4 linked regions of the Oreochromis niloticus genome follow. The protein of the gene in region 4 purifies or fractionates together with the protein of the main gene of each other region. This does not show direct contact. Links are inferred from orthologs where the notes say so. Each region holds a gene or a part of one and is shown on either strand. Other genes may lie near its edges.

What was found.
Region 1: the proteins of gdi1 (region 4) and rab12 purify together in Homo sapiens (co-immunoprecipitation; 4 studies listed by BioGRID and IntAct, counting the BioPlex papers as one, with this or other methods). This does not show direct contact. The link is inferred for Oreochromis niloticus from reciprocal best matches to the Homo sapiens genes GDI1 and RAB12.
Region 2: the proteins of gdi1 (region 4) and rab4a purify together in Homo sapiens (co-immunoprecipitation; 4 studies listed by BioGRID and IntAct, counting the BioPlex papers as one, with this or other methods). This does not show direct contact. The link is inferred for Oreochromis niloticus from reciprocal best matches to the Homo sapiens genes GDI1 and RAB4A.
Region 3: the proteins of gdi1 (region 4) and rab6a purify together in Homo sapiens (affinity purification with mass spectrometry; 3 studies listed by BioGRID and IntAct, counting the BioPlex papers as one, with this or other methods). This does not show direct contact. The link is inferred for Oreochromis niloticus from reciprocal best matches to the Homo sapiens genes GDI1 and RAB6A.

What each region holds. Positions count from the first base shown.
Region 1 is NC_031982.2:24,892,555-24,900,593, reverse strand, and holds the start of rab12 (ras-related protein Rab-12), read left to right. Parts: upstream 1-4,370; 5' UTR 4,371-4,536; coding exon 4,537-4,765; intron 4,766-5,915; coding exon 5,916-5,976; intron 5,977-8,039. Other genes in the region: napgb (N-ethylmaleimide-sensitive factor attachment protein, gamma b), read right to left, coding at 833-917, 1,028-1,095, 1,281-1,336. UniProt on the Homo sapiens protein: The small GTPases Rab are key regulators of intracellular membrane trafficking, from the formation of transport vesicles to their fusion with membranes.
Region 2 is NC_031965.2:25,562,937-25,571,487, forward strand, and holds the start of rab4a (ras-related protein Rab-4A), read left to right. Parts: upstream 1-5,369; 5' UTR 5,370-5,525; coding exon 5,526-5,541; intron 5,542-7,591; coding exon 7,592-7,672; intron 7,673-8,551. UniProt on the Homo sapiens protein: The small GTPases Rab are key regulators of intracellular membrane trafficking, from the formation of transport vesicles to their fusion with membranes.
Region 3 is NC_031975.2:10,589,365-10,597,472, reverse strand, and holds the start of rab6a (ras-related protein Rab-6A), read left to right. Parts: upstream 1-4,667; 5' UTR 4,668-4,950; coding exon 4,951-5,020; intron 5,021-7,362; coding exon 7,363-7,421; intron 7,422-7,534; coding exon 7,535-7,588; intron 7,589-8,108. UniProt on the Homo sapiens protein: The small GTPases Rab are key regulators of intracellular membrane trafficking, from the formation of transport vesicles to their fusion with membranes.
Region 4 is NC_031984.2:7,303,076-7,310,776, reverse strand, and holds the start of gdi1 (rab GDP dissociation inhibitor alpha), read left to right. Parts: upstream 1-4,058; 5' UTR 4,059-4,351; coding exon 4,352-4,396; intron 4,397-5,370; coding exon 5,371-5,478; intron 5,479-5,656; coding exon 5,657-5,756; intron 5,757-6,526; coding exon 6,527-6,661; intron 6,662-6,746; coding exon 6,747-6,945; intron 6,946-7,125; coding exon 7,126-7,257; intron 7,258-7,359; coding exon 7,360-7,459; intron 7,460-7,604; coding exon 7,605-7,701. Other genes in the region: V-type proton ATPase subunit S1, read right to left, coding at 45-119, 957-1,077, 2,371-2,489. UniProt on the Homo sapiens protein: Regulates the GDP/GTP exchange reaction of most Rab proteins by inhibiting the dissociation of GDP from them, and the subsequent binding of GTP to them. Promotes the dissociation of GDP-bound Rab proteins from the membrane and inhibits their activation.

The sequences.
Region 1 (8,039 bases), on a different chromosome or scaffold from region 4:
AGTTACAGATAGTTCGAGCCACAATGGAGCACATTTAGTCTTCTAAGCTGCTTTAATTCTTCTTAGCAAAAATCAACAAGTTGCTAGAAATCTTCCTCAGAGGTTTGGGTCCTTGGAGACGCAGCAGGATTACAGTTGTTACAAATTTCTGGGCAGCACCTTACAAATGTGATTCTACTGTTCAACTTCGTCCCAGAGGTGCTCTGTTGGATTAAGACCTCCTTCGATTTTTGACACAAGGCAAGATGAATCCATGCCAACGTATAAAGTGCTCATGAAATGAAAACTCATCAGAATCAGGGGTGTAATAATTCTTCAAAGCCAGATTTGTTTTACCAGGGTTTGATGGCAGGGTTTTAGCTCAAATCTTAGTTTTCCTTGAGAGGTTGAATAACAAAATACATATGGGAAAATAATCAGTTTGCCACAAATCTTGTCACTTAATTCTTTCATTATAAACTGATGACATTTCAATATTTCTATGCAATATCTCCACGTGGGTCTCACAGTATGGAATGACAGAATTATAATACATTGTGTATGTTTGTGCCAGAGTCTTTCTGGTCTTGGTTTTAGAGTTTTTACACCCCTAGTGAGAATAACTATGGTACACTGTTAAATCTGCGATAAGCAGGTACCCTGGACCAAGCTATTACAGGATCCAGGGTGCAGGGTTAAAAACGGTTACACCCCCACACTGCCTGCACGCTTTGTGTTTCTGTTGTCTGATTGGCTGATTAAAGGTTTGCTTTAAAGAGCAGCTAACAAAGTGGCTAGCGATTGCACAGAATATATGCAGACTTGTGCCTTTCCTTTGATCGGGAAAGGATACGTTTTGTTTTCTGTGTGGTACTCAGCTTCCTTCAGATAAGCATCCTTTGCTTGTTCATACTGCTTGGCATTCTTGAAGCACACAGCTAGAAACAAAGCACAGAGGTTAGCTCACTGTGAAATTATATATTTTTAATATATAGATTAAAAAAACCCACTCCAGTTTTAAGCACTATAGTGTCGTTTCGTGTTTTACCTGCTTTGGCGTATTCTGATGCAGCACTGTCAAAGTCAGGCTTCCACTTTGTCAGACTCGTTTTTAAGCTGTAAACACACCACGAGGAACAAATAATAAACGAATAATACAACTATAGTGCGATGGATAAATAACCATAAAGTCACTTTATGTCGCATAACCTTTCAACAGAAAATACACAGTGGCCTTACAGCTAGCTAACGTGAGTAGTAAAACTACAGAGCAGGAAATAATCGTTTTTGTCCTCGCTCACCATTTCTCCGCTTTAGCTATGTGCTCGTGCGCTTCGTTTATCTTCTGAGCAGCCATGATGTTGATCGATCAACTCGGTTATGAGGAATATGTTATTGATAAACGACTATGGATGTTGCTTCGTCGATGTTTGGATTACCAGGAACTCCTCCTCGGCCGCAACGTCACCAGCTGTCGCAAGTTACGGATGCCGCATTGGACAAAAAAAACAACAGCAGGGAATGCGAAAATCTGGCTCTAGTACTGTAATGCAGCTAAAGAATTTGCTTTTTGTTTTTTAAATGAAAGACTATACAATCAGATCCATAATGGCACATTTTTTGGCAATTTCCCCTCTGTTCACCACCACAGTGGATTTTTAAATGAAACGATCAAGGTGTGATTTAAGTGCAGACTTTCAGCTTTAATTCCCATCCCAAGGTTTAGGTGTTTACTGTCTAGGGTTTACAAACAATGTAATTTTCAGGCCCTCGCTTTAAAACCAACTCATTTATAAGCTCAGTTTAAAACAACAACAGCCTTTGCTCAAAGTCTGGATTATGAATTTGGAAGCAATCACAAGAAAGTCTGGTGACGTGGGAGTCTGCAGTGTGGTTTCAAATTCCAGAAGTTTCACAAAGCTTCAGTCTAATGTTTGCTGATAATATGTTTTGTAAATATAAAGAAAAATAGAGTGCTAAATTAATGCAGGACTGCAAGGGCCTTAACTTAACCCTCCATGACTAACAGGTCTAACAGAACACCATGACACCACCAGTGTTTGGTAAGGTTGCAGGCACAACAAAAAAAACCACCCACAACTAATTCTGTAACTTTCCATCAGGGAGCGAATAGGCACTGTTAAGTCAGGGCGTGGGCCCATTGATTATCTTCAGTTCACAGTGTATTTATTTAAGTATCTTGTATTCATTCAGAAATTTGCAATCACATACTGGTTCTGTACTTTTTTTTTGTTATTTTTTCGTAGCTGAGGACAAGTGAAGGCGCAGGAGGCTATAGCAACTTGACATAGTGGGCCTCTTTAACATTTTCCAGATGTGTGTGGAGTGAATGTATGGAACCCGTACATGTTAATACCATTGGCAAAGCACCAGATAGTCAGTTTGCCATGCTTATGAGAGCTACGTCAAACTTTATAGGACAGTGCTCTTTTGTTCTCTTTGTCAAACTGCACTTTCCCTTGTGGTCTTTACTGTTTTTTCCTTGCCAAACATTAAATCAAATACACTTGAGCAGAATTCCTGAGAGCTTTATATGACTGTGAGAAAACAGGACAACTTGCATTGATTCTTCACACTTACACTAGATATTCACAGTCCTGTTTGTTGGACTGCAACCTCAAGTCAAATAAAACTTGTACATATCACAAATTTACCTACAGGGGCTTTAAAGGGATCAAGAATCTCAGTTGTGATACAAAAAGAAAACGTTTTTTTTTCATGGTGAAAAGAAAGTATATCTGCCCCCTTTTCTAAGGTTTTACATGTCAGGATATTGCAAAAAAAATGAATTAGTCATTGGTAGGTCTTAAGTTTAAATGAATACAGCTTGAATTGAACAACAAAACATGATGTATTACATTGTGCCATTATTTAAGTAAACGTAGAAACAGTGTGTGAAAAACTGAATGCACCCCATGATTCAGTAGCACCTTTTATAGCAATAGTTTGAAGCAATAATAAAGGTTTGCGGGGCATCATTTTATTCACAGCTCTCTTAAGGTCAAAACTGTGATCAGATTGAATTCCAGACTTTGACTGTGACATTGCAACACCTTTATTATTTTCTTTTGTCAGTCATTGTGTTATATGTTGGGCTCACTCTCCAGTTGCATGACCAATTTCAGTCAGACAGATGGCTTCACAACTGACTTCAGAAAACTTTGGTATACAGAGGAGTTCATAATCAACTCAATGACTGCAAGGAGTCCAGGTCCTGTGGTTATGAAACAAGCCCAATCTGCAGCCGTGCTAACATTTGGTGTGAGGTGTTTGTGCTGATATGCTGTGTTTGGTTTTGCCAGACATGCCACAAGAAGTCTCGTGGTTTATTCTGAGGCCATTTTCCAAACCAATGCCGTGCTGTCTTCATTTTAGAGAAAAGAGGCTTTTTCCTGGCAAACTTTCCAAACAAGCTATATTGGTTCAGTCTGTTTCTAATTGTACTGTCATGAACTTTTAACATTGAACATGCTTACTGAGGTCTGTGAAATTTGTAGTTCTTGTTTTTTCTTTTTTGCAAAGTCCCAGAGCCTGTGCTTAATTTGCTTGGACATCCACTCTGAATACAAACTGGCAACTGATATCAATGTTTTCCACTTGTTAATAATCTTTCTCGGTGTAGAATGATGGAATTCAGTGAAATTCATATGGACTTAGAACCTTTTCAAGACTGATGGGAAGCAACAATTGTTTCTGTAAGATCAATGCTGATGTATTTCCTTCTTGGCATTGTGTTAACACACACCCGAATGCTCCAGACTAGCAAACTGCCAAAACGTCTTTTATAGAAATGCTCAGAAGTTGCTGGTGATTAAATAATCAAGGGCACTTAATTACCAGGATCTGACCTCTACTTACCCTCTTAATTCTTTTGGGGGAAGGGAGGGTGTATTTATTTTTACCATGTAACCTCTATATTTTGACTTAATTTTTGTTAAATAAATAATTACAGGGTATAATATGTCATGTTTTGTAATTCTTCTGAGGCTTTATTTACCCAATTGTAAGACCTAATAAGGACCAGATTATGCACTGAAATCTTATAATTGATATAATTGACATCCTCTTATAATTGACATTATAAGAGAATGTGCCCTGTTTTTTTGTTTGTTTGTTTGTTTGTTTGTTTGTTTTTTACCAGAACTCTTATTCAAGATCCCATTCTTTGTAACATGCAGACCTAGTAGGTCTCTCTACATGCAGGCCTAATATTTGGTTCCTTTTTTTATTGAAAACGTTTAATAAATCAAAAAAACATGTAAAAGTAATTCATTCTGATTACAAGTGATTAAACGGTCTCTGTTTATAATTTTAAAAAAATGTATAAAAATGGAAATCATAGCCACCGGAAGCGGAAATGACATCACGGTGGCCCCGGTCTCTAATGGCTGAACAACAACAACTGTCTGCGACTGACAAACTTTCGCAAACTTCATCAGAGACAAAAGAAAGTTAGAGATACCGGCTTGTGTTGCTTCTATAACCGGTTAGGGTTATTTGTCTGTTCGTCTTATAGTCACAAATGTGGGATTACTAATGGATCCGAGGTATGATATTCCACGGAGGGCCGCCGGCGGTGGCGGCGGGGGCTCCGCGAACTCGTCCCCCGCTCTGGGGGCTCAGTCACGCCGCAGGAAGATGCCTCCCAGACCCGCTGATTTCAAACTTCAGATTATCATTATTGGCTCTCGTGGTGTTGGTAAAACAAGTCTCATGGAAAGATTTACCGACGACACTTTCTGCGAAGCTTGCAAGTCAACCGTAGGTGAGGACAGAAGGCATTAAAAGGTTTAGTTTTTTTTGACAACTTTTCATTTAATCAGCTAAAACATGTAGAACGGCTCCGGCTAAATACTCGAGGAGAAATGCTTAAACTACTGTGGGGTGCGCCCAGTGACCATAAATCCTCCAAGTTCACTGGCATAGCGACTAAACTTTATTTCTAATGCTAGCTGTAGCCCGCTAGGTATGTTGATAACAGTATCTTAGCCAGTTGACCATGGTGACTGAAGTAACAATAGCATTTCCTTTGACTTCAATCACATGAACTAGGTTTCCTTAAGCTTTTTTTAACGTTTGCATGTAGAGATTTTAGACTTCTGCTAAAGGACAGCGTTTTTATTAATTAAATACGAATGAATAATTGTACTTTATTACTGTTCTGATAATATTTGCAGAATATTATATTATAGGTATTATGGGTCTGAATTACTATGTTTACTTCTAGTTAGCCTGTTTTGGTTATGTTAACCAGGAAGTAGTCTTATCCAATACCACCTTGATTTTACTGATGTATCTCTACACAGAGAACTAACATGTTGCATATTTCTACATAAAAACACATTCTTTAATTATTTGATTATTTGACCACTGGTATGTTTACTTACTGAACACGAGATTGCCTTGTGACAAATTGCCAGTCGTGTTTGCAGATTAAAAATATACATGAGATCTGTTTATACATTCAGCTGGGTAAACAGTCCTATGACCAGTCCGGCAGCCAGCCATAGTGTCCAGTCCCAAAATAGTCTAACAGAAGCAGCTGCTATAGCAGAGCTCCATTTTGTGCCCTGTCATTCCCTGACACAGCTCATAAATTGTGTGAGATGTGTCACTAATAACATGCTTCTTTGATTAGGTACCACAGAGGGAATAGTTTTACAGTCTCCCAGCCTGTCTGAAAAAGTTGCCTCAGACGAGCTGGGTGATGCAATGTGGCTTGTATTGTTTTGTGGCTGACTCAGTGAGTCCTCCACATCTATTAAATCTACTAACACTAGAACTTGTGGGCAGAGTCTTGAACTTAAAAATATGTTTACTGGATACCGTGTTAGCTATTTAGCTAAACATAAAGGCAAAGCAACAAAGGAATTGCTTATATTTGCCTCTGTTCACATGTTTTGGTTCCCTCATAGGAGTTGACTTCAAAATCAAGACGGTTGAGTTGAGAGGGAAGAAGATTAGACTACAGATATGGTAAGTGACCAGTTCCTTTACTTTCCTGCCTGTTGCATGTCCTCTGTCTCTCTGTCCGTCCTATCAGCATGCAGGCTTCACTAACAAAAGCTGCTGTTTGGCTTACTGGGTGTATTCCAGCTGTGTTTTTTGCATGTTTCTCCATGTCAACATGATTTTGTACAGATTTCCAGTGTCTCCAATGGGAATCTTACTTTTAAACATCATCATGTAAACAACATCATTATTACTCACCATGCTGTCTGAGGTTTCAGATTGCTTGTTTATATCAGGTACTGCTGTTGTTACTAGGAATATCTCATCACTATTTCTTTACTGATATCTTGAGTATCTGGAGGTGCTGGTGTGCTCTTTTTGCCTAACAACTAAGCAGTTACTACTAAATTTGTGTGAATGCATTTGACCTAACTTGGCTATCTAAAAACATTAAACGGTTCTACTTTCCTAAAGGTTGCACCTATGAGCTGTGAAATTATGTAGTCAAGACTCGGTGGAGTCGTGTCTGAATCTGTCAGATCTGACCTAGGAGAACTGAGAGACCATGTGAGAATAAAGCAGGAAATTGTCTTGTGAATTTACACTGAGTGGGTGTCGTTTGTCAAAGCTCCTGCATGATCTGTTCCTGCACTACCCCACAAAACAACCATCCATGCATCCCTGTTTTAACTTATCCTATTTAGAGGGCTGGAGCCTATACCAGCTATCATAGGGTGAGAGGCGGGGTACACGGTAGCCAGGTTGGAAATGCATCAACAGAAGCAAATAAAGTATTTTCCAGTACCGACAATCTTCTTTTCTCAATTTATTTCAGTTTATTTTATGTAGCACCAACTAAGAACCACAGTTGTTTCAATGTTATATTGTAAGGTAGTGAGACTATCTTTTAAATGATCCCCTATTAACCAAGCACTTGTTGATGGTGGGAGGAGAAAAAACCCTCCCTTTTAACAGTAGCTCAGGGTCATCTACTATCACCAATCTAGGGGTAAAGGGTAAAAGAACGCAAAGAAAGACCATGCACAATAGTCAAGAGTTAACACCAACTACAGAGGAGAGTAGACAAAAAGTTAATGACATGCACTAGTGGCCTATAAACACATAGGGGATGAAAAAATGCTTAGAACCTTTGTACGCCTTCCTCCTCCTAATTAAAATGTTATAATAGTTGTGTGGTTAAAATGGTAAAAACCAAAACAGAGCAAATGCTATTCTTAGCATAGTAGTGATTCTGTCCATACCCCATCAGTGGGTTGCAATAAGTGTACTTTATTATCAGTGGTTGAGAGTGACGTCAGTGAGGTCTCACCTTGGCCAGTACACCAGCAGCTCTTTGTGGTTAGTAAGCACAGCATGACCTTATGTGTTCAAAATATTTTCTGATGAAGCTCCTTGGTGACATACCCAGATTGAAATATTTTTATCCACAGATCCTGGTACTAATAATATAAGAAATGTAATGCAGACTACACTTCATTAGGTTTTTATAATATTTGGGCTTACTGTAGCAGAAGACCTTTTTTTCCTCACGTAATGAAAATGCCTGCAAAATTGTATCGTACCCTATCACAGGCAATCCACCAGGGTTGTTATCAACTTGACAAGTCAACTCTGGGTTTCCCAGTCAAACTGACTGTATTCACAAGGAAAAAACAAATTGGCTTCATATGGCCAACCCAGAGAATGACAGTCATATTATATTCCAATGTATTAAAAAAAAAACAGAAAACCAAACTACGATATTAGGGAAAAATGCAAATTGCATGTAAAGTTAATATTACGAGGCTTCAGGCTTAGAATAACGGTAAATGGAAGCAAGCAAACGAGCGAGGAATAAAAGTATCTGTAAGGATCTGTGTATTCTGAATAAAAACTGTAGATCTTCTTGCTATCTGCACACTGAGGTGCAAGGGCTTTTCCAGACGATTGCTTGGTCGCTAGGTTTTATGCTGACCTTTTGTCTTGGACGTGATCTGCTATGGCGCAGGTCACGTGTGCGTACGTGTAGATGTATTAGTTACCATGGCGATGTAAAACTGAAAACCCAGGGTTAAGCCTGAAGTCAC
Region 2 (8,551 bases), on a different chromosome or scaffold from region 4:
TATGCCATATGTTAAAACAAGATCTAGAGTGTGATTAAAGTGGTGGGTGGGTTCTTTTACATTTTGAGAGAAGCCAATTGAGTCTAATAACAGATTAAATGCCATGTTGAGGCTGTCATTTTTTGCATCTACATGGATGTTAAAATCATCCACAATAATTATTTTATCTGAGCTGAGCACTAAATCAGATAAAAAGTCTGAGAAATCAGACAGAAACTCTGTGTAAGGCCCAGGTGGACAATAGATGGTAACAAATAAGACTGGTTTCTGAGTTTTACAGCTGGGGTGGACAAGGCTAAGCATCAGGCTTTCAAATGAATTACTAGTCTGTCTTGGTCTTTGGTTGATTAATAGGCTGGTGTGAAAAACTGCTGCCACACCACCCCCTCAGCCTGTGATTCGAGATTTCTGGTAGTTAGAATGACTGGGGGGTGTTGATTCATTTAAACTAATATAATCATCCTGCTGAAACCAGGTTTCTGTAAGGCAAAGTAAATCGATTTGTTGATCAATTTGTTGTAAGAAGAAAGCATGGTATTTATACAGACAGTATGTCATGGTTGGCTGTGTGGCAGGCAGGCAAGCAGGAGTGGTCGACCCAAAATGCCGGACTCAGACTCGAGGGATGAACTCAAAATACTCAGCTTTATTTGCTGGCACGGGAAAACAAGCATACAAAGCAAACTAAACTAAACTGGGAAACAACATAAACTCACAGGAAACACAGGGAGAGCCACACAGCATGAGGGTGAACTGACGTTAACGACACGACAACAAGAACTAACTGACAGGGACTAAAATACACTGGCAGGCACATGAGGAAACGAGTAACAGGTGGGCACACAGCTGGGACTCATTAGGCTAGTAAGGACAAGGAAGTAAAACAGAATACACTAACATGAGACAAGACCTTCAAAGTAAAACAGGAACTCCACAGGCAGAATTCAGAGACAATACTAACACAGTACAGAGGGAACACAGAACAGGGACAGGAGGAACATGAGGGCAGAACTAAAACCTAAGAGCTAGAAATCACAACCCAGAAGGACAAGAAATCTAGAAAAGCAAAACAGAACCCAATAAACAATAATATAGAATCAAAACACTGGGCCACAGGCCCAGGACCGTGACACAATACTTGCTTTGAAGTAATCCCATGTGTGCATACAAGCAAGAATTATGAGAAATCCCAAGATGAAACTAAAACTAGAGGTGGGCAGTTCAATCAAAATATTGATGGTATTTATACTAATACTGGTGTTAGTATTGGCTCTATACTAGCTTGATAGGTTTGGTACTTTGCTTCTATCCGCTATGTTCAGCATGTAGCCCAGTGTGTTCAGTCAGTTGTAGGACTTTGAAGGGCTCAATAGGTTTACAGTAGCAAAAACCCTAGTGTAGTTCATCTGGTTCAGATCACTTATGTGGCCTGAATTGATTTCCTGTGCTACTAACAAAATTTAATTTAAAAAACCAAACAGGTTATGTTGCTTCCTATTGGCCTGCAGGGTGCAAGGCAGACTTTGCTTCCTGCTTCAGTGAAAACTTCTGCATACGTTGTGATCCAGGTAACTTCCTGTTCAGAGGCAAATGTTAACGTGCTTGTCCGAAGGGGCAGAAAACAATTCTGTGCGTATATAAAACAGGTCCACGGCTCCAAACAGTAGTAAAGGGACCTCTGGCTAATACTTTGGGTTCTGTGTCAGGCTCGAAGCCAAAAACTACCTTTACTTTGTTGTCTGGGTCAACTTTGCTATTGAGAGACAGAGAGAGGTGTTGAAAGGCTCCTCCGATAGAAGTTACTGTTTGATGAACACAGTGTACAGTCGAGTCTTAATAGCTTACTTACAACTGGGCTCATCAGGCACTCTTTTTGGCTGCAGTGGTTATTATTATATTTACATGCTTCCGTCTCCCGTATCTGGTCAGTGACAACTCGTACTTTCTTTAGGGCTATGCCTGTAACACTCTGCCTATTGCCTTCATATTAAATAATTTTTTGAATAATAATTTTTAAAAATATTTCTTCAAGTCATTATGCGGGCCCCAAGTAGAGTTGACATGGGCCGCGAGATTGAGACACAGGCATTAGAGCCTCTTAATGTGTGTTATGTTTGGGTTTCCACCGGTGTGGAATTAGCAAAAATAGAGAGGGCATAGCCTAACATACGAAACAGGAAAAGACCACTATGTAATCTATTTATTTCAACGAAATAACTGTATTCTGAATATCACCTTTTAAAACGATAACTGCAATGGAATACAGTTACTCATATTTTGTATTTTAAATACGTAATGCTGGTACATGTATTCCATCACTCCCCCAAACTGCCTCAGGCAAGTATGGGGCAAATCATACTTTCAGATTTGACAGCAGAATAATGATGAAAACTTTGCGTTTGTGCTTGTTAGCAGCTCAAAATGGCTGAGAAACACAAAAATGTTTAATGCATACAAAAGATACACCAGTGCTGTGGATTCCCTAAACACTTCAAGGTTCTCCACACACTGAGATAAGCCACAAAAGCAACACCAACCCCCAGCCCCCGTGGCTCTCCCTGGTAACAAAAGTGCCTCAAACATGACCCTAAGGATCTTCGATTATGCCAGTGGTTTTGATCCTAACGTTGCTGCTGATTGGTTTAGATTTACAGTTTGTTATTTTTTCATCCTGCGTCTCCATCTCATTCCTGTGCAATAATTTCACCGCTTTCCCACTGAAATGTTAACACAGATAATGAAGTTCAGAGAATTTGATTATATTTGCTATGTTATTTAGCAAATATAATCACCGGATGTAGCAACTGCATGAAAATGTAATAGAATTGCTGCCATTCTACCGCTGCAGGACATTTTCTGTGCCACTGATGAATTTTAAACTAATCCCTGGACATAATATTAAAACATGCACTTGTTGTATAGATGACATTTGACCTCACACAAAAGGAGAACCATGTTAATCCTTTTTGTAACATTTTTTTCCCAACATATTGTAACCCCTTAATGTCAAGTGTATTATATTTGAGACCTGATTTTTTTTAGGCTTCATCAATGTGATTTTTTTTTTTACCCTGGTAAACCTAAATAAAGACATTTTTAAGCCCAAAAAAGTTAGATGTAGCAAATATTATGCAAATTAAAAGGCATATATGCAAATTACTTTTTTAATATTTCTTTAAAAATGTTCAGTTTTCTAGAGTACGGGTTGCACCAAGCAAAACACACAGTAACTACAATGTCTAATTAAAAGTGGAAATTCTATACCTGAGCTGGACAAATCTATTTTTTTCAAGGTTTATTATTTGTTTTTCTTAAAACAAATAATAAACCAAACCAAAACTATGTACAGGTTTAATGAAGCCCTCTTTTACTGTGAAACACTCCTTTTATGTGCATGGTGTGCAGCCACACCAGATCTGCCTCATTTGCACATCTATGCAGAACATTTAAAAAGGAAATACATTGATGAACTTTCATAGTGCTATCACTTAGTTTGTTTTTCTTTACCCTTTCCAGCTTTTGTTTGTTTGTTTATTTACTATTAAATAATCTGTTATTTATGCTGTAAGGGCTGATTTATAGAACATTTCTATGCCAAAATGGTGGAAAAGTGATTCATTTCTTATGGTATCTTGTAATTGTTTGTTTGCTTGCTTGCTTGCTCCTTTAATGGAAATGTATGCACATTTGTGCGTTTTTACACAGAAGATACCTCATTTGTAGAGGTACAAAAAAAAAAGAAAAGAAAAGAAAATTTGTTAAAATAAAAGAACAAACAAACAGAAAAACTGTAATACAAAATACAAACAAACAAAACAGTTTTTTTTGTGACAGTTGAACACACCCATCAGGACATAATTTTCTACACACATTTACAAATGTATGTATTATATCTTCTTGCTGCTGTTTCCTGTACTGTACATATTATTTTTATGTCAGTCTTTTCACTTACTTTAAAAAAAAAATCTTTAACTTCATTTTTTATTATGTTATTTTAATATTGTTGAATGTAAAAAAAATTCTCTACATCAAATTATAAGATCTCCAGCATGGGCATGTTACTTGTACTTTGGAATGTCTGTCTGACATAAGAAGAGTGTATTTTTTAGGGTTTCTTCACTTCTGTGTAACCCTCTCCCCCCCCATGACTACTATTTTTATTTATGTATAATAATGTAATGTAAGTAACACTTAGTGCACAAACTAGTCTGTGCATTCAGAGCAGTGGAGGGAAACCCTGCCCTTCGAAAGCTTTGAAGAGTCCTGACACTTGGTAAGGTAAGAAGGTTTAATTTATCAATAAATATTCTGTAAGACATTAAATATGTTAAATATCCTGCATTTGTCTGACATTGAAGCTTTGACTAATGGCTGTGAGAGGCTTTGGAAGTTTTTCCATGTTAAAAAAATTGCTCACATTAGATCTATTTTTTTCCTTTTCCTTTCCTAACACTTTGTTAAGCAGTCCAATGGTCAGGAACACTCTTGATGGACTTCATATGGTCTCTGTTTCTAGACTAGGTGAAACTGTAAATCATTTGAAACCCTCAGTTAGTTTTGTGGTCTAGTTTCTGCTTTTTTCTGCTTAACCATTTTGCTCGTAGTCTCAAGTAGAGCTTCCAAAGATTGATTTTTTTTTTGTATTGTTGCATTGTTAACTTACATTGTGTACTATGCTTGCAGGTGCAAAGCACCTTCAGATAATACACTTGCATTTATGTAATGCTTTTCTAGTCTTATTATTGATTCAAAACACTTTCAACTACACATTTATGCAGGACTTCTATAAACTTCAACTACCTTACATCCGTGATCTGTTTAGAATCACCAGTGCACGAACATACATGTCTTCAGACTAAGGGAAGAAGCTGGAGTACCCAAAGAAAACTGTGTGAACTCCACACAGCTAAGCCCAAACCAGGATTTAAGCCAACTGTGAGGCAACAGTGCCTCTTGAAGAGATTTGGGACAGGAGTGATGGGAACACATATAGTTTTACCTTTATTACCACTATCCCATTAATAATGCACACAGATATGACATTTTCCTTGATTTGACCTACACTGGTGGATTTAAAGCTAATTTCAGTCGGGACAGGTCAAATTTGATTGGAGCAGTCTCAGTGTACAGATATGTGTAGCACATAAATTTAAAAAAAATTCTTTTTTATGTTTTAGGGATCACCTTAGGAAACGTCATCCAATTTCAAAATAAAAGACTTAATATTTATTCATTTAGTCACATGTAAAAAGTGACCTAAATAGCATCCAAGTCTGTGTCAAAAGTCTCAAGCAGACACAGCTCCACCCTGCGGCTGCCTGAAGACTTTACAGTGATCCAACGGTTCTTCGGTTAGACGGCTTTTATTTTGAAACAAACCGCGTACGGGAAGTCGGAGGGAAAAATCAGCTGGACTCCGCGGAAATCACCAACAGGAGTATTTTCCTTTTATTTAGCTAGCTAACCATCTGTCAACTCCCATTTCTCCCTCCCTTCTTTGTTGCTGTCAAACCGCCACACTGGCGATGTCGGAGTCGTACGGTAAGAAAGCACTTTTGACCGGCGGCCACCGTTATCATCCTCCCGTAGCCTCAGAGATGGGATGGGGCAGGTGTGCCCAGAGAGCTTTTTCTCATCGTAAACAGATAGCTGACAGGCTAACCGAGCCGCCGCTGAAGGCTGCTGGCCTTAAAAGTTGCCTCGTCAGCGTAAGGAAACCCACAAAGGCTGTACAGCAGAGTTTAGTGTCGCCGTGTGCAAAAAATGTACCCCCGGCACAAGGTTACAAAGCTCCCCGGAGGGTATCGAAAAAGACAGGGGAAGCTGACACCTGGCTGGGGCTTGGTGCAGCTGTAATATCTGACTAAGCTGCAACATTACAGCCACATATGAGGCATTGTTTTCTTAGCTTGACCATTTCACACCAAAATAATGATTATTTTGCTAGTTTAGTGGTTTAATAGTGGATGAATTCCTCCGTTGCACAGAACAGCTGATTGTAGTTTTTGTTTGCCTACATCAAAGCCTCCAGAATATTTTTTTTTTTGGGGGGGGGGCTTAATTGTTTGTTTGTTTTTTATTAGGATAATACCTATATCAATATTTGAAAGCTATAACATCAAGCAAGAAAAGCCAGGCGCTGTTTGTTGTTAAACATCAGTTTATTATGGCCAAAGCATCACAGTATTGTGCAGCATATGCTTGAGCCTGACTGATAAATGGAGTTTGGGAGCCGGTGTGCACAGTTTGTCACACTTATATATCTGAAACCCATTTGGAACACCTGCCAAGAAAATTAAAGACAAAAATCAAATTTCTAGTTTAGTCTGTGCTGGACTGTGGTGATGTGGTGATATGATTTGTCTGCATCTTGATTTTGCATTGTACTTTATCGCAGGTGATTCTTTTCGGTCTTGTATGAAAAAATGTACTAGTCCTCTTAAGCTATAATAATACTACAGGAGTATATGGTGGTAAATAAGGGTGTTTGCAAGGCTACTGCAGAGATTACTGGATTTACTAGACTTCACAACAGTGACGGTAACTCTCACCACTCAAGTGGGGGAAAACTAAATTTAAATGAGCTATAAAATATATGAAGCTACAGTCTCTAATTTCTCTAGAATATTTTGAAAGGTCATGTTTACGGAACTTGAACCACACCCTCATTTGTTTATATTTTGCAAGGAAAATAAGAAATAGGTGCAGCACTTTCTTTGAAACATGCAAAAATATATGGAAATACAGAATATAAGGCAAAAACAGAGTTTGTAATGAGTGTGAAAGTCAGGATTTGGTATGATTTGGTATTCTTCAGCACAGCCTGAGCTCTGTTAGACAGTTTTTTGTAATTTCTTTAAGTAGCCTTCAGGAATAGTTCTCTGGGCTTCTAAAAGGACATTCAAAGCTCTTCTTTGGATTTTGACTGCCTTTATTTCTGATTTCTATCAGGATGATCCCAAACTGCCACTGATTTTCAGTCCAGTTCTTGTGTAATTTGGCATACCTCAACCTTTTCTCCCTGTTTCCTTTCCTTAAGAACAACTGAGTTTGTAGATGGATCAACTGAAGGATGAGTTTTATCTCTCAGGTCAAGTTATTACAGTTCACTAAAACTAAACTAAAAAATAAAACTGTGTTTTTTAAAGATGGACTAACTGAGGTGACATTGACTAATTAAACTAAACTAGTTTAGTTTGTTGTCACATGTAGCTTTATTAGGCCTTGGTACATTTGGTTATTGAGGCTTGGAATGACTGTGAGATGACTGTGAGCTAACTGCCTGTGTTTGTATTATAATATCTGTTCTGAACCTCTGAAAAGCACAACCCAGATTACAATAAATAAGAAAGTTGGTACTGAAGCTAAACACTAAAATGAAACGAGCAAACTCACTGTGGAAGTGAAACTAAATTGACAAGAAAAACGAGCTGGAAAATACCAAACTAAGACTACAGTAACTGAGCTTTTCCCACATTTTTGTTGTAATTTCCTGTCGTGTTAGCTAGCGTCTATATGAGCAACTAGTTTCATATAGTCTGATAATAATAGCCCAACTGATGTAATGTGTGTCTTTGCTTTTCCTTTGCAGATTTCCTGTTTAAATTCCTGGTGATTGGGAATGCTGGAACGGGGAAATCGTGTCTTCTGCACCAGTTCATAGAGAAGAGGTGTAAGTCTGAAAGACGCAGCACGCTCCTGACTGTTTACTGTAAATTACAGCACTACATTAGGGAATTTCTTCAGGCAAATTAGACAGTAAATATGCCAGTAATTTCCACATGTTAAAGATTCCTAGGATGGAAATCAAGTTTTCAACCTTTTAAGTCCATATTTAATGAGTGAAATAAGCTGTCAAATCCATGGATATGACTGCATTCTTAATCCATGGATTTAACTGTGTGCATTTATACTTGCATTCTGAGTTTTATAGGCAAAACTAAGAAATCCTGTTAACTTTGGGTTAAAGCTAAGCTTCTCAGAGCTGGCAAGCTGGAAAGGGGGTTGTGTTAGATAAGAAATGCATTTACATTTCTAATATTGTTGAGGATGATGCACTGTAATGACAAAACTATTTGCTCGTCCGCCTTCACACTCATATGAACTTGAGTCTCATCCCATTCTTAATCCATTGCGTTTAATATGTCAGCCCACCCTTTGCAGCTATAACAGCTCCAGATCTTCTGGGAAGTCTTTCCACAAGGTTTAGGTGTGTGTTCATGGGAATTTCTGATCACTCTTCCAGAAGTGCATTTGTGAAGTCAGACACTTATGTGGTTTGAGGAGGCTTGGCTTGCAGTCTCTGCTCTAATTCATCCTAAAGGTGCTGTGTCGGGTTGAGGTCAGGACTCTACAGGCCAGTCAAATGCTTCCATGCCAAACTCACTCATCTATGTATTTATGGACTTTACTGTGTAAGTAAACATACGCAGTCATGTTGGAGCAGGACGGGGCTATCCTTAAACTGTTTCCACAAAATAGGGATCATGAAATGGACCAAAGTGTCTTGATATGCTGAAGCATTAAGAGTTTGCAGTCAGACAAGTGCTGT
Region 3 (8,108 bases), on a different chromosome or scaffold from region 4:
CGTGAATGAATGAGTGTCTTCTCCTGGGCCTGTCCCGCTCTGCTCCTCTTCCAGGTGCTGAAGAGGTGCTGAGCTGATCGCCTCCCCACCACACACACACACACACCACTCCCCCACCTTCTCTCCCGTAGTCTCTCCCCCTCCCTTGTGCAGTGATGCTTGTCCTCCCCCTGCCGCACTACTCCGCTCTGCGCTACAGCATATGCTATAGCTCACTGAATGACAGCCATGATCACCCTCTGTTTTCCACTTGCCTCTGTTCTCCTTCCCCTCTCCTTCTTCTGTCCCTGCCTTTGTCCTCCACCTTACCCCCAGGGCACTCCTTGTACTTTAGCTGCACTCACTGCCATCGGTGCTCCTCTGCAATCGTCCTTGCATTGTGTAGAAGCTTTGCCTTTGCTGCACCCTTGCTACTCCAACCTAAACACACACACACAACACATACAGCTGATCCTCCTTGGCTCACCTCAGCAAACGGCACTGTAAACACACACACACACTTGCACTCGATGACAGCTCTGAATCCCACTCTCGCACTTCCTACTGAGGACTGCAGATCCACGCCAGCACACAAAGCTCCTGCCTGCTGAATGTCATTTCATGACTGGAGGAATGGTCGCTCCCACAGCTCTGAGTGCTACAAGGACCCATAAAAACCTGCATACACACACATGCATACACACACATGCACACACGCACGCTCAGAGACACACACTCAAACACGCTGCCACCCAGCCCCTCAGTAATAAATCAGCTGCTTTGCTGCATCCAGTGAGGCTGAACCCAGTCAATGTGCTGCAGACCTGCTGTCCTGTGTTGTCCTGTGTTGTCCTGAGTTGTCCCCCTGGCAAAATTCAGCACAGTCCAACACCAAGAGTCATGTCTTGCAGGGATGAAAAGCTGTCCTGAGAAACCTATTTCTGGGCTCCATCATCTTGCACCCCCCCTCCCTCCCGCCTCTCTCCCTCCTGCTCTCCTTCACCTTCGCTCTCTTCCTCCTTTTCCTCACGTTTGTTCTGCAGATCTGAGTCCTGCCAACTACCTCTGTCTCAGCGTTCGGTCCCCATCTCTGCTCTGTGCTCTCCCCTCTCTCCCTCTCTCTCTCTCTGTGTCTCAGCCTCGTTCATCGCTCTATCTCTGTCACACTCTGTGAGCATGCAACACCCCTCCTCCTCCTTTCATAGATCTGCTCTCTCTCATCCCTCCTTCTCGCCCTCCCTCCTTCCCTGCCTCCTCTTGTAAATGTGCTTGGATTGCTACTCTGATCTCTGCTTCGGTTATGCTTGCAAGAATGCCTCCCACTGTACTGCTGTGCCTGTTCCTGCCTGATGTTGCACAGAAAAGACGGAGTTGTGATCTAACTGCGCCTCCTGCCCTGTGTTCATTGCAGTTCTTTGTTCCAGTCTGGAAGCTCGACGGTGTTTCCCTTCACTTCAAATGCTCTCTTCCTGGTTTTTTCCCCCCCTCTCATCATCTAACCTCATGATTCCAGGAGGAGGATTACAGGAGAATTGTAGCTCTGCTCCACCCCATCCCCCACATATCCCCTCCCTTTCTCTATCTTACTGTATTGGGGATGACAACACACCTATTTTACCCTGGCCTAACCTTCATACCCCTTTTTTCCGATTTCCCCTTTTCATCTTCTCTCTGTTCCTCATCAGTCTCTCCTCCATTAGAGCCCTTGCGTTCAGTCTCCCTCACAGGAGAGATGAGCACAGTGTTGTACTTTGGTGTGACATTGACATTAGATCAAGGTGGTGTGGGAATGTGATGGTCTCCATCCATTACGCACATGGATACGGTCAGATTCATACAATAATGCACAAACATCCCCTATACACTGTCTCTATCTGAACAAGAGAAGAAAAAAATAAAGACTTTTTTTCCCCAATATGTGAGTCATAGCAAGGTTTTCCCATCTAGAAGACTGAGTCAAGTTTTGCAGAAGTAAATGGTGTGGTGGCCTGACATGAGACCAGCGCACCAGGATGAAGTCATGACTTGAGGTGACAGCTTCGATTCTTTTGCACCATGCTTCCTTTTAGTCATGCTCCTTTGATTCTGGATTACACGCTTTTCAAGCTGACAGCTCAGTTTCTTGCCGAATAAGGTGCGTGACTTTGAGGAGCTTCGGGGGAAATTTGATAGCACCTCCTCAATTCAGGGTGCTGATGCATTTTTCAAAAATGAGCACATTCAAAATGCACAAGCTCTACAGAGGTCTACAGCGCAATCCGTCTTGCTGTGCGCGTGGAAACACACGTGCCGCATCCCTCTGTATGCTTATGCGTGAGAGGCGGAGAATGACTGAGTGAGGGAGACCGGGAGCAATGGAGAATTTGTTAATTCAGCATCTTCAGCGGGAGGGGCGGGAGATTTGGGGTCTTTCCCTGGCCAAGGACATGTGGCGTAGGAGTGCTATTGAGGAGAGAAGAGGGAGGGGAGAGGCAGCCGGCTCAAGTTGATGGCTCAAGTTTAATGAGGCGCGGGTCGCAACCAGAGCAGCTGAAGGGCTGGCATCAGCCGGTCAGCTGCTCTGCAAAGAGACTTCAGAGCTGCATGGCACATGAATGAGAGCGGGGCGCAGGTGTGTCTTCTCTTCAGTGACTTAGAACAGCTGGCTCAAGCAGGCATGAACTCACATACTGTACCTACACACTAATAATGCATTGCCTTTTATACTTAAAACCCCTAAAATGTAAACGTAATCCAGGCTAGTGAACAGTAGGGTGAAGTCAGATGTGTTTCCTCTGGTTAATTAATAGTTGAAAAAAACACTTGCATCTGTAGGGTTCTGACATTTTAATTTATTTTCTGTTTCAGCTCATCTTTGATCTCATCAGGATGGGTATGTCCACACAAATAATACATGCCCTTACACAGCACATGTATCTTTAATAGGAATTATGTAAGAATTAAATTACCCTAACAACAAGGATGCTGGAATGACAAAATATTGAGACCAAAGATGGTTATCAGTCAGTGGGAGATTATAAGTATCTTGATTTGGTATTTAAATGACTGCAGGTAAAAAAGCAGAGGTGTAGTGTTCATTGCTGTATATGAGAGTGGATCATTTATATAATTTATTAAAACACTAACAGAATTAAACAGGTAGAATAAAGTATACTGCAGCACAAATTAGTGCCACGTAATTAAATCATGAAGCCTTCATGCCAGCATTTTCATTCATACATCCCTCTATCCATAATCATGTACCGTGTGTTTTATCGTTGTGTATAGTGTATTATTTTACTTATTTTGTATTTGTTTGTATTTTATTTGTATTTTTGTATTTTTCTTCTGCTATCTGCACCTGAGCTGAGGTAACGCACAAATTTCTCCACCATGGGATCAATAAAGTCTTATCTTATCTTATCTTTTCTGTCTTTGGGTGGAGTAAGTAAACCACCTTGTATGTTGCCTCGGGGCTTCATCCTTCAGGACAGCAGCTGTCTGATGAGCTGAAGGTCATGAGTAATCCAATAAAAGCTACACAGGGTCCTGTAAACATCACAGGCTGATACCAATTTTTTAAAAGTGTCCGACATAATAGAACTAACAAGTCAGACATCCACTTTCACAGCTACAAACTGCTACCCTCAACTGTGATTTAATTTCCTTCACAAGGACTCTTAATGCCAGTTGGCTTGATGCTAAATGGTTACCAGCAAAACCTGGCATTAATAGAGCGAATATAAGGCTGAACATGTGCACATTGCAGTGAGGTTTAAAAATAGGCTGAACAAAAAGAATGCCATTCTTTCAGCACCAACAGGACTGATTAACACTGTCGAATGCTATATGGGAGTGTTACACAGTTTCTTTAAACAACGTTTATTCTACATTGAAAAAAATGAAATCAAGTTTACCTAAAAACTCTGAGTAACAAAGAAAGAAATTCTAATGTAAATTTTACTCACTACTGGGGACTGTTTTTAATAGAAATAGTCATTTATTAGTGCTTGTTGTCTTCCTTAATCTTCTACTTCTGAAGGATTTCATCATAAGTGCTGACCCCGTGTTTGCGTGGGTTCCGGCTTCCTCCCACAGTCCAAAGACATGCAGTTAGTGGGGATAGGTTAAATGAAAACTCTAAATTGCCCATAGGTGTGAATGCGGGTGTGAATGTTAGTGCGAATGGTTGTCTGTGTCTCTGTGTTAGCCCTGCGACAGACTGGCGACCTGTCCAGGGTGTACCCTGCCTCTTGCCCTAAGACAGCTGGGATAGCCCCCCTCCCACCTCCCACCCCGCGACCCTGAACAGGATAAGCGAATGGATGGATGGATGGATGGATGTTAAAAAATGTTTCCATGTAATTTAACCATCGGTAAAAGTCACCGTCTAATTCTTTAGGTTTAAAAATTATTGGGATTCCCATTAAAATTGCTTAGTAGTGAAATCTCACCTGTGATGAAAGTACCCCCTCTAGTGGGCTTTAAAAAAACACACCCTGCCTTTTCCTTCTTTTTCAGCCTTAGCGCGGTAGTTTTTTTTCCCTCATAATGCTTCCAACTTTGTGAAATAAAAAAAAAAATCCACTGAATCATATGTATCAGTGCGTTGCTCTGCCAAAGGGGCAGTCTGGTTTTTCATTGTGGGTTTTTTGCTCCACCAGCAGAGGGCAGCACCGCAACATGCCAAGACACATCAATCCATAAAGTTGTATCTGAAGAAGAGTGGCCCGAGGTGGCTGGTTGGTTTGGTGTATATGACAGAGTAGAAGAGTAACGCTAACTTGGTCGCAGTAGTTAGTGAGGTGCTTAATATTGACTTGGACTTTGAAGGAATACGCTTCGAGCACAAAATTTCCTCAAGTCAGCCACGAGTGGGGCTGTTCATTTTCGCTGCTTCTGGACATTTGATAACTGACAACAACTGGTTAGTTAGCATTAGCTGACTAGCTAGGAAGCTCCCGAAAAGTAACGTCAAGGTTTGATTCAGTCATGTCTTCGGCCGGAGACTTCGGAAACCCTTTAAGAAAATTTAAACTGGTCTTTCTTGGTGAACAGAGCGGTAAGTCTGCTGGTAATTTTAAGTGTTGTGGGATGTAGGATTTAAGTTTTTTGCTCTGTTGGACATTTAGCTAACACCAGAGTTTGGTGGGTGATTAACGTCAACCAACTAGCTAGCTAACGTTAGCCACGTATCGTTAACACTTGGCAGTGATGGCATTACGATACAGTAACTTGTTACGAACAGTTTCTTCGCCTTGGCCTGATTAAAAAGGTGATTCATTTCCTTCAAAATGAGTCATGTCTGTGAAAATGGACTCTTACTTCAGTTGTGTGACGGGCTGTGATAACACATCATTAACGGAGGCATCGGAAATTACCAAGTGTCATTTAACAGGATGTTAAAATATGAAGCACCAGCATTATGTCTTCGTTATTGTAGGATAGGTGAACTCCAGTCATACCCTGCTGTGTTTAGAAGATGTTCATAATACTAGAGTGATCATAAATTCATAATTTCTACCCTGGAGCAACTTCCAAATTGGACGATCCTGCCAAGCAGCATTCCTGCGATCTCCCTACTAATTTACACTCCTTCAGTGTCTACACAGAGGGTTCGTGTGGGCTGTTTTTCATGTCTTAGGTAAAGCTGTGTGGCTGTTCGTTGTGTCGTCCGCGGTGTCCACAGATTTTAGGGTTTAAAGTAGAATTTGGATTATTGGTCCAGCGTTGTCTCTTTCTTTGGAATATACTTGCAACATATTTGAAGGAGCTGTTTCATGTTGCTTTATTAAAACAGTATGAAGTTGGAATTCTCGGTAAAGAGAAACTTGGATCAAACCTGAACTCAGATAGCCACCAAAGGACAATAGGGAAGACAAAAAAGGGGCTATTGTCAAGATGAGATTTTGCACCATTTATTCATAATTTTCCAGCAAGAAAGGAACAAAGAAGTCATGGCTTCTCCTGCTGTGATGTGAGAAGAATAACAAACCCAATCACTCACAAAAAAGGAAGCTAAATACATAATAAACATCTAAGCTGAAGAAATTACAAGAAATGTCAAAACCATTACATTGCACAAATATTTATTATAAGACATACCCAAGAACATTAAAAAATGCAAACGTAGAAAGAGTCCCTGCATACCTTTTTCCCAAAATATAAAACTTGTCTTTCAGTCGCACTGTGCCATAGACTGTATATAAAATAATACAGATCTCTTTAGAAAAGATGTGAGTTGAGAAGCTGCTGTGATAAATGAAACTAGGAAAGAATTAAGGAAGCAATAAGGAAGCCAAAACTTGATGACATTATTGACAAAACTGTAATAAATGTTTTTGCTATAATATGACCCGTAAGTCCCACCAAGATGGGAAAGACACACTGCGTTTTTCGGACAGTCTGTGATAAGCTGTGGCTCCTTTAAGCCTTGTAAACAGCAGTGTTGTCTGTAGCCCTGTCACCATCCCTTGATGGACATTGTAACTGATAATGTAACTCGAGCTCAGCAAAAACAGTCTGAGAACTGGCAGCACTGTGCGAGTACTCAGAGCTGCTGTGTGACTGTCCCTGATGTGTTAAAGGTATTCATAAATGTTTTTCTATGAGATTAGAAAAAAATTGAAGCATTTTACAGCTGCAAAGTTTGTAAAGCGTAGTTTTGTGTGTTGAACAACATTACAGAGTTTCATATTACATATGGACACAAACCCTCCATTGTGGATCAAATCAGCACCCTGGATACACTGGTGGGGGGAGTTCAGACATAAATGGCAAACTTTGCTTACAGCCCTTTTTCTCTCTGTGCTTTGCTCAACCCTCTGACTCCTGAATTACTTTGAACAGCTGTGCACTACACGCTTAGTGGACAAGAGGTCTGAAGAGGGCAGTGGGAGTTGTGTGACATGAAGCTGCTTGCTTTACTCTGTTATTAGTGGTCATCATCTGTGGAAAAGGGCCACAGCAGCTGCTTCGGGTTGAATAACTTTAAACACATTTCATTTCTGCAAGCTTTCAGAGATCTGCGTAGTTTTTATTTAGCCCTGAAATAATTATTTTGCTTACAGCTGAAATTATTAGTGAACTTACTTGATTACCAGAATCCTATTGGCTCCAGTTAAAGGCAGCTGGCTTGCTTTATGTTATTGCAAATTAGATATGTTTAGGTTTTAGACAGTTGGTCAGATAAAATAATCTGTTTGAAGACTTTGGGTGCTCAGAAAGTGTAAAAAGCATTTTCAGTTTTAAATTTTCTTCTAGTTGGGGGGAAATGTAGAATAGGTTCAGTTATAGAGGCAGTTCTTTTTTCCAGGGGAAAAGATGGACCTAATTCTTCTCCAAAATCAAAGTGATCGTGTGGTCATTGCACTCTTTAAGAGTTTCTTGTTTGTGTTTGTGCAGTGGGAAAGACTTCATTGATCACCAGGTTCATGTACGACAGCTTCGACAACACCTACCAAGTGAGACTTAACACCTCCACTTTTAACTTTAATAATCATTGATGATGCCTGATATCAACAGCAATACTCATTGGAAATGACTGTGAATATTTGGTTGATTCTTTTTTTTTCAGGCCACAATAGGAATTGATTTCCTGTCAAAAACTATGTATCTTGAAGACAGAACAGTAAGTTTATTTTTGTCACATCCAGTAACTCTGTTTTTGTTTTTCTTCTTCTTGTTCAGTTGCTTTTCTTTAGCCACTGAACTGGGCTCTTTCTAACACACACAGAGACAGCATTTGTACATTGCTACTGTGATCAGGAGTGTTGTATCCCCCTTGGACAATCCTCCTTTTCTCTGTTCATTTCCTCCCTCAACATGAGTTTTCTTCCTCTCCTTCCTACCCTTCCATCTACTTTCTCATCACCGTTTTGAAATTAAACACCTTACTTGATCCAGAGCGGAGGGCTGATGACAAGTGAAGGGTGATTACTTCTTTCTTCCCTCCCAAAGGCCCAGACAGCTAGCTCTCTCTGGTGCTTATTCACTGCCTGCATGCACTACGTGCTCACCTTTCTCTCTCTTTATCTTTTCCCATTAGTCCAACTTTATTTCCTTTTATTAATTTTTTTTGTCACATAAACTTACCCCATTTGTGTATTTGTTTTTCTTGTTTCATTTTCATCTCGTTTTGGGTTTTTTTG
Region 4 (7,701 bases):
AACTATCTTAATTTTGGACTAACATATGTGTTATAAAAACATACCTCAATGTTTTTAAAAGCACTATCCTCCTTGTTCCCAAATACTCCACCAAAGACTGTGAAGTCATCTTTGCTTAACTAAATACAAAAAGGGAAAAAAAATATTTGTTTCTTGAATTCAGGAAGACTTAAACAACTGAAACATTTATCAGTCCCATTAACCCACGAGCAATTAATTTATTTTAGCAGCTAAATTGACTTAATGCCATTCATAATCAGACATTATTTTAAAGGAATTCTTTTTTAATGGCTCAGTTTGCATTTAACATACTTAAAAAATACAGACTGTATAAACAAATTACATTAATTTGGACAATTATTATCTGCTACTTCTTCCATTTTCTTTGTTTCAGTAATACTAGGAAAAACTACATTTCAAATCTTAATGTCTGTTTGAGTGACTTGTTGTCTGTATGCATGACAGTATGCTAGTGTGCCAAAATGTGAGTGAACTGGCGGCTCCACAATACCTCAATTAACAACAAACTGGAATGAAATCATTGTCGCATTCACGCTTTTCACGCAAGCTATATCTAAAGGAATATCTTGTTTGTGCTTGTGTAGTTGTTTAAAAGTTATAGAGGATTTACAATGACAATTTCATGACAATTACAATGATTAAAAATATCACATGGGAAAATATAAATATATGGCTCAGTCACAACACTGAGTGTTCACCACCACCACAAAAAAGACCCGATGTATCACAGAGGAACTGAGAAATGGGAAGTAATGCCAAAACTCACTGTCACACCACACTGTTGCAGTGTCACATGGGAATGCAGTACAACTACCCCATTTTACACAACTTGCATATAAAAGGACTAGCTTTCAAATCAACGAAGGGTGAACAATTTAGTGACATAAACATATCCATTACAGAGCCAGAATCTAGTTCATGTGTCGGGTACTGACCTTGTCCTGCAAGAACAGCAGCACAGTGTGGGAGCCAGAGCTGAAGGCAGAGGTGAGGTAGGCACTCAGCTGCTCATAAGATGCTATATGACCAGCTGCAGGTGAGGCCAGTGGTGGCAAGCTAAACATAAGGAAAAAAATAAAGATGAATTGTGATATTAAGTGGTTCAGTTGCATTGACACATTTTTTGAAAATGCTGAAAAACCCCAGCGGCTTTTATTATGAAGCACAGTACTTCATTTTATTTTGAAAAGCCACCCATCAGTCAATCAAATGAAACCTCTGAATACTCCCCAACAAAAATGTGTTTCCTGTAAAGCTGGCATAACATTATACAAAAATGATAAATGTCTAAATAACAACAACTACAACAACAACAAAAATAATGAATCAGATATTCATCCTATCATCAAAGAAAACTATTTTGGTATATCAACCTTGCCTTGTCCTCCTGCTTAACACACCACCTCATACAGTAGTATACTTCCACATTTTAAATTCCTGTGTGCGCCATCCTAAAGAAGTGTAGTACACTTGCAAAACTCTTGCAAAACTGTGTTTTAGCAAATGTGCCAACCCAGCTCTTAGTAAACTTTTACAGGAGCACAATAGAGAGCATCCTCTGTCACTGCATCACAGTGTGGTACTTCAGCTGCACTGCAGAAAACCGTCGAGCTCTGATCGTCAAAACTGCCCAGGGGATCATTGGAACCAAACTCCCGAATCTTGACACCGTTTATGCTAGCCGTTTACAGAAGCGAGCTAGCTGCATCATCCAGGTCACAGACTTTTTGTACCCCTCCCATCGCGGAAGAGATATAGGGCAATCAGAACCGCATCCCCCAGAGCTGTAGCCTGTGTCACCGCTCCCCCCAACACAAAATAGCTAACTCTCCCTCTCTCTCCTTTACTCCATATCATGTCTGCTGCTAATGTACAAAAGTGAACAAATTTCGTTGTATAACTAATGACAATAAAGTTCTTCTTTATCTTTAATCTTACAGCTTACTTTGCTTTTTTGCAAATGAAGATCAACAACATTAACATATCTACTAGTGCTAAAGAGCGTCACCTTAGGGGGTTAAATCATGGAGAATCGTTATTTCTGTGGATTATTTCAAAATTAAGAAATAAAAGGATGGCCATTATGAACAAGAGCTGGATTTCACAATAACCTTTTAGGATTTTTTTATTGTAACAAAACGCACAAGCAAATATCTACAATTTCTGTGTAAATACTCCTCTAGATATTTAGCTCCTAGACTTTAAACGCTTAGTGTTTGCAAGGTTGGGCAGCAAAGTAGAAACTCACTTAGCTAGAAGAGTTAGCATCAGCGTTAGCATACAAGATAACTTTGCCGGTAGTTAAAGTGAGTTCTGCTGAATGAATTAGTAAGAAAAACTAAATATTACCGTTCACTGGACCACATAAGAAAAGGCACTTGAGACGTGGCGCTCCCCAAGGCGAAAAAAGGGGCGAAAAGTAGAATACAAACACCCATTAACCGAGTGCAGCTCCTCGAACCTGCCATTTTCGTTTAGACTTTTCCGGAACTCTATGCTCACGTGACCCACACCACCTGACAGTCATGTGCTGAAGAGATGACTTCCTCCTTCTTTCATTCAGCCCGAACAGCCCACAGCAGCTGCTGACACCAATGACACACTACAGCTTTGCTCTTATTTAGTTTCTCTCGGCGAGAACAGTTTAACATTTCCAGGAGCGAAACCGCTACAGTACCATCAGCTGCCCATCAGCACATTGCTTAGCAGAACAATTGATTCTTTAAAGTATGGTGTGCGTGTGTGTGTGCGTTTAAACAAAGAGTCTTCCATTATCACTTCATTTATATCCATATTTTCTTTTTTTCACTTTCACTTAGGGCGTAGCCTAATTGTCTAAGAAACTCTTAAGCATTTAAGAGTTAAATTGTTTAATTCCCTCTTTGTTTCATGTCCTAACAATTACAAATAAGTAATTAAGTAAATTATAAATAGATAAATAAATCAGTCTTAACATTTCTTTAATTGAAAAGCCACTCCTCAAAAAACAAAAACAACAACAATCAAACAACCACCTGTTAGCAAACGCTTGGTGCCAATGGGAAGGAAAAACTCCCTTTAAACAGGAAGAAATCTCCAACAGAACCAGGCTCAGAGAGGGGCAGCCGTGTGCTGCAGTGGGTTGGGGTGATGGGAGAAAGCCAGGATAAAAGATTCATTGTGGAAGACAGCCAGAGATTAATAATTACTAATAATTAAATAAACAGTAGCCCAATAACAGTTATGGTAATGCTGTAGTTACTTAGCATTTTACCTGTCCCAAAAAGCATAATTATGCTTATCCTTCTACTGAACTCCTATATGATATTATCATATGTAAGGCATAGATAAACTTCAACATCACTGTAATGTAAAAAGGATAATATATGAATCATTCAGTGATCATGACTGCATAATTAACTCTGTACAACAAATACTTTTACTTTAGCTACTTGGGACTGTAGGTTGCATTTCACAGCCAAAACAGACTACTTAAATAGGAATGTGACATTTACTTAAAAAGGGGCCTAAATGCTTGTTTAGCCACTTTGCAGAAAGGTTATCCAAATCTTTTGCAGCACTACTTTTCGTGTAACACCGTTTTTATTAGGAGACAGGGCTGCAGAAAAGACACTTTTCTTTAATAATATTTAAATCCGATCAAACATTACGATCCCCTGCCTTACCCCTGGTCCCCCACCCTACACCCCCTGTACCACCCCGTTAAAAAAAGGAAAAGAAAAGCCTGGAAACACCCCTGCTGTAAGGGCCTGAGTGCGTGCGCTCAGTCAGTGAAAGCAACTCCCATCCACACAGCTGTGGCAGCGGAAGGATATCTCTGCCTTCATCCACGCAACGCTGCGCCTACAACTGGGAAGGAAAGATAGAATAAGAAATTAGAGAACACACACACCGTGGTTTCAAAATGGCCAAAAACAAAAGCCAAACTCCACAACAGCACACCCCGTGTGCACAATAAACTATCGCCAAAGCCGGCTCAAAGCGGCGTCTCCCGCTTTGCAGCTTGAGCCCATTGTGTGGCAGGATGGGAAATAGGGAAGGAGGATGCGCACTATTTACCGACGCGCAGTGACATTGTTCTAGACTGCTCCACGATCAGGGCCATCTTTGGTCGTCCTCGCCGGTGACAGTGTGGACTGTGTATTCCATTGGTCATTTATACCCAATGATTAATAAATAATATTTAACTTTGAAGAGCAATTTAAAGCACCTGTGCAGAGATAGTAAGAGACAGTTACCCGGTTTGTGGACTCACCGGTTTTATTTGCTTCCAATACCCTTCATTTCTCAAGGCAAAAAGAGGGCGAGACGGGAGAGGCGGTGAGACAACATGGATGAGGAATATGATGTGATCGTTTTGGGCACCGGACTCACAGTGAGTAGTCAAGCTTTGTTTTGTTTGCACAGAAACACACCGAATTGATTGTGTCAGCTTCCCAAATGATGGTTTTAGCCAGACCAGAGGCCCGCTATCCTCTATCCTAGCCAAGGAGTGAAAGCCCCTTGCATCCCGGCGTGCGTGTCACATTAGAAATTTATCATAAGAGATGCGCTTTGGAAATAAACCGCACCAGCTGATCTGCTTGTACACGACAAGAAGCAAACAGTTGCTCGACCGGGAGTTGTTTGCTTTCCCAGAGTCACAGCCGGCTCAGTGTTGTGTTACACCCAGCAGCATCTTTTAGGCGTAACCCCACAGTGTGTCATGGTCCTCTTTGCATAGGCAGGCCTCCATCCTGAGGTTGGCGCAGGCCTGAGCTCCGGTTTATTAAATGACAGAGCTTTTCACTGCTGCCACTATCGCCGCACTTTCCTTTCACTCATCACACCCTCTGCGGCAGAAATGCGCTTTCTGTGCTTTTCTCCCAGCTCTTTGCATACACGGAAGCCGATATTCTGGTAGTTTTATAAATGGAATCAAATACGACGATGCATATCCACAGGATTTTTCTTTTCTATGTAATACATTTTTAATAACATTATTACTATTATTGTTATTATTATTATAATTGTCGTAGCTACGTTGTTAAGGCGATACAATCACGCATGCGCACATCTTTTCCACTGTCCCCCGCATCCTTCTGTCAGAACCTCCTTACTTCCATTTACATTCAGTGTCTAAACTAAGCGGCGTGCTTATCTCTAATGATATGCTGTAAAAAGGTCTAGACCAAATAATAGAAACATTTCTCATCTTGACAACTTAAACTACACCCCTCAATGAATGATTCAACACATCTCTAAAACACTGGAGCCTTGACAAGAGAAGGATTTATTATAGGGCTGTTTTATACCTAAGAGTTATTGATGTAATTGATGTGTTGGATAAATAAATCCGCTTTCGTGCAGGAATGCATTCTGTCCGGGATCATGTCCGTGAATGGCAAGAAGGTTCTGCACATGGACCGAAACCCCTACTACGGTGGGGAGAGCTCTTCCATTACACCCCTGGAGGAGGTAAGGACTTCTGGGATCTATAAAACCAATCAATAAACTTTTAATGTTTCTCAGTATATCTCATTTTACTTCCAGTCCCATCTGTCACCCTTTTACTGTCTTCATTTGCTAACTGCTTTATCCTCTGTAAAGCCTCGGATTCGATGGGCCTCACAGGCTTTCCTGTCCTTTTCCACAGCTGTACAAGCGCTTCAGTCTGCCAGATACCCCACCTGAGTCAATGGGCAGAGGACGTGACTGGAACGTTGACCTCATACCCAAGTTTCTCATGGCCAACGGTTAGGATCCTATTACTAATTATATAAAAAAATGCCATAAAAGTTAGCACGTGATAAGTACACAAGAGCCAAAGTGCTTTTCAGACTATTCAAGAGGGTAATTCTGGAGCTTAATATTGTAACTGCAGAATGCTTTAATTCTTCAAGGTTGGTCACACACTAACTGCTTGTTTAGGTGACTCTGGAGACCCTGCAATGTAACCTATTTAAGTGGCCAACACCTTTGCCAGCATTAATGCTTGTGGGTGGTGTTTTACCATGTCCTGGTGTTTTATAAGCAGTGCCATTCGTGACAGGAACAAATAAAATGCTGGGACTTTTTTCCCTCCTGGCCTTTAATCTTTGTTCCAATCAATATTTTTTCAGAAGCCAACATATTTGTCCATAAAGTTTTTCCACTTCTTTGTACATTTCCTCATATTTATTCTAGTAGTTTTCAAAATCCCCCACCAGGAATCTGATGACATTTCTGAGTTCTTACATTGAGGCGGTGGTTGTTGTCCTCTTAGTGATCCATTCAAAAACTAGGGTAAAAAAGTAGCTGGAAATGCATAGGAGGAATCGACCAGACTAAACGGGCCAAATACAATAGTTGTGGGATGTGTTAATGCAACATACTTATATTTCCAGGGAGGTGCACGTCATGTTACAGCATGTTACGTCGTAGGCTTTCAAGGGATTTGTGGTTTTGTTGTATATGTAGTGTGGATTTAACACAGAACCGTAAATCCCCTGTAAGATGTTGCGTGTGTTTGCCTCCCTGATTGCAGGTCAGCTTGTAAAGATGCTGCTATACACAGAAGTGACACGGTATCTGGACTTTAAAGTAGTGGAAGGCAGCTTTGTCTACAAAGGAGGAAAGATCTACAAGGTGCCATCAACTGAGACTGAGGCACTAGCTTCAAGTAAGTCACCTGAACGTTGTCTCATCACGTTTTGCACGCAATGACGTCAACAGTAGAATGCTGAAACCTCGGTTTGAATACACAGATCTGATGGGAATGTTTGAGAAGAGGAGGTTTCGAAAGTTTTTAGTCTTTGTGGCCAATTTTGATGAAAATGACCCCAAGACCTTCGAGGGCGTGGACCCCAAAACCACAACGATGAGGGATGTTTACAAGAAGTTTGACCTCGGTCAGGATGTCATTGACTTCACTGGCCACGCCCTGGCCCTCTACAGGACAGATGAGTAAGAACAACATCACCCATTATCAGCCGTTTAATTGGTTTAATTCTGCTTAATGTCACAGTTGCATGCTTTCAAATTTGAGTCACAGATGTTCTTATCAGGGAATACCAAGGGTTTATTGTTATTATGTGCTTAAATAGATATTAATGGAGTTCTCACATTGTTTTTGCTCCACTTCAGCTATCTTGATGTTCCTTGTTTGGAGACGATCAACCGTATCAAACTCTACAGTGAATCACTGGCACGGTATGGCAAGAGCCCTTATCTCTATCCCCTCTATGGTCTGGGAGAACTGCCACAGGGCTTTGCCAGGTATTTTAACTTAAATTAAACTTATGATATTTATGATGGAGTCTATCATAACTATCAAAACCACTCCTCGAGTTAACGAATCATACTCGTTTGTAATCTTAGGTTGAGTGCAATCTATGGAGGAACCTACATGCTGAACAAACCTGTGGATGAGATCGTGATGGAAGGTGGAAAAGTGATTGGAGTAAAGTCTGAGGGCGAGGTAAAGCAGATTCTGCTTTATTGTCCACAGCTACGCAAGTTAGACAGTATCATTCCAAATTTTAAAGTGGTTATGCCTAAGGTTTATTCAGCCAAATATACTTATCCAGCAGACTCACATCATTACTGTCTCATTCCCACTGCAGGTGGCTCGTTGTAAGCAGCTCATTTGCGACCCTAGTTACATCCCAGACCGTGTCCGTAAAGCGGGTCAGGTGATCCGTGTGATCTGCATCCTCAGCC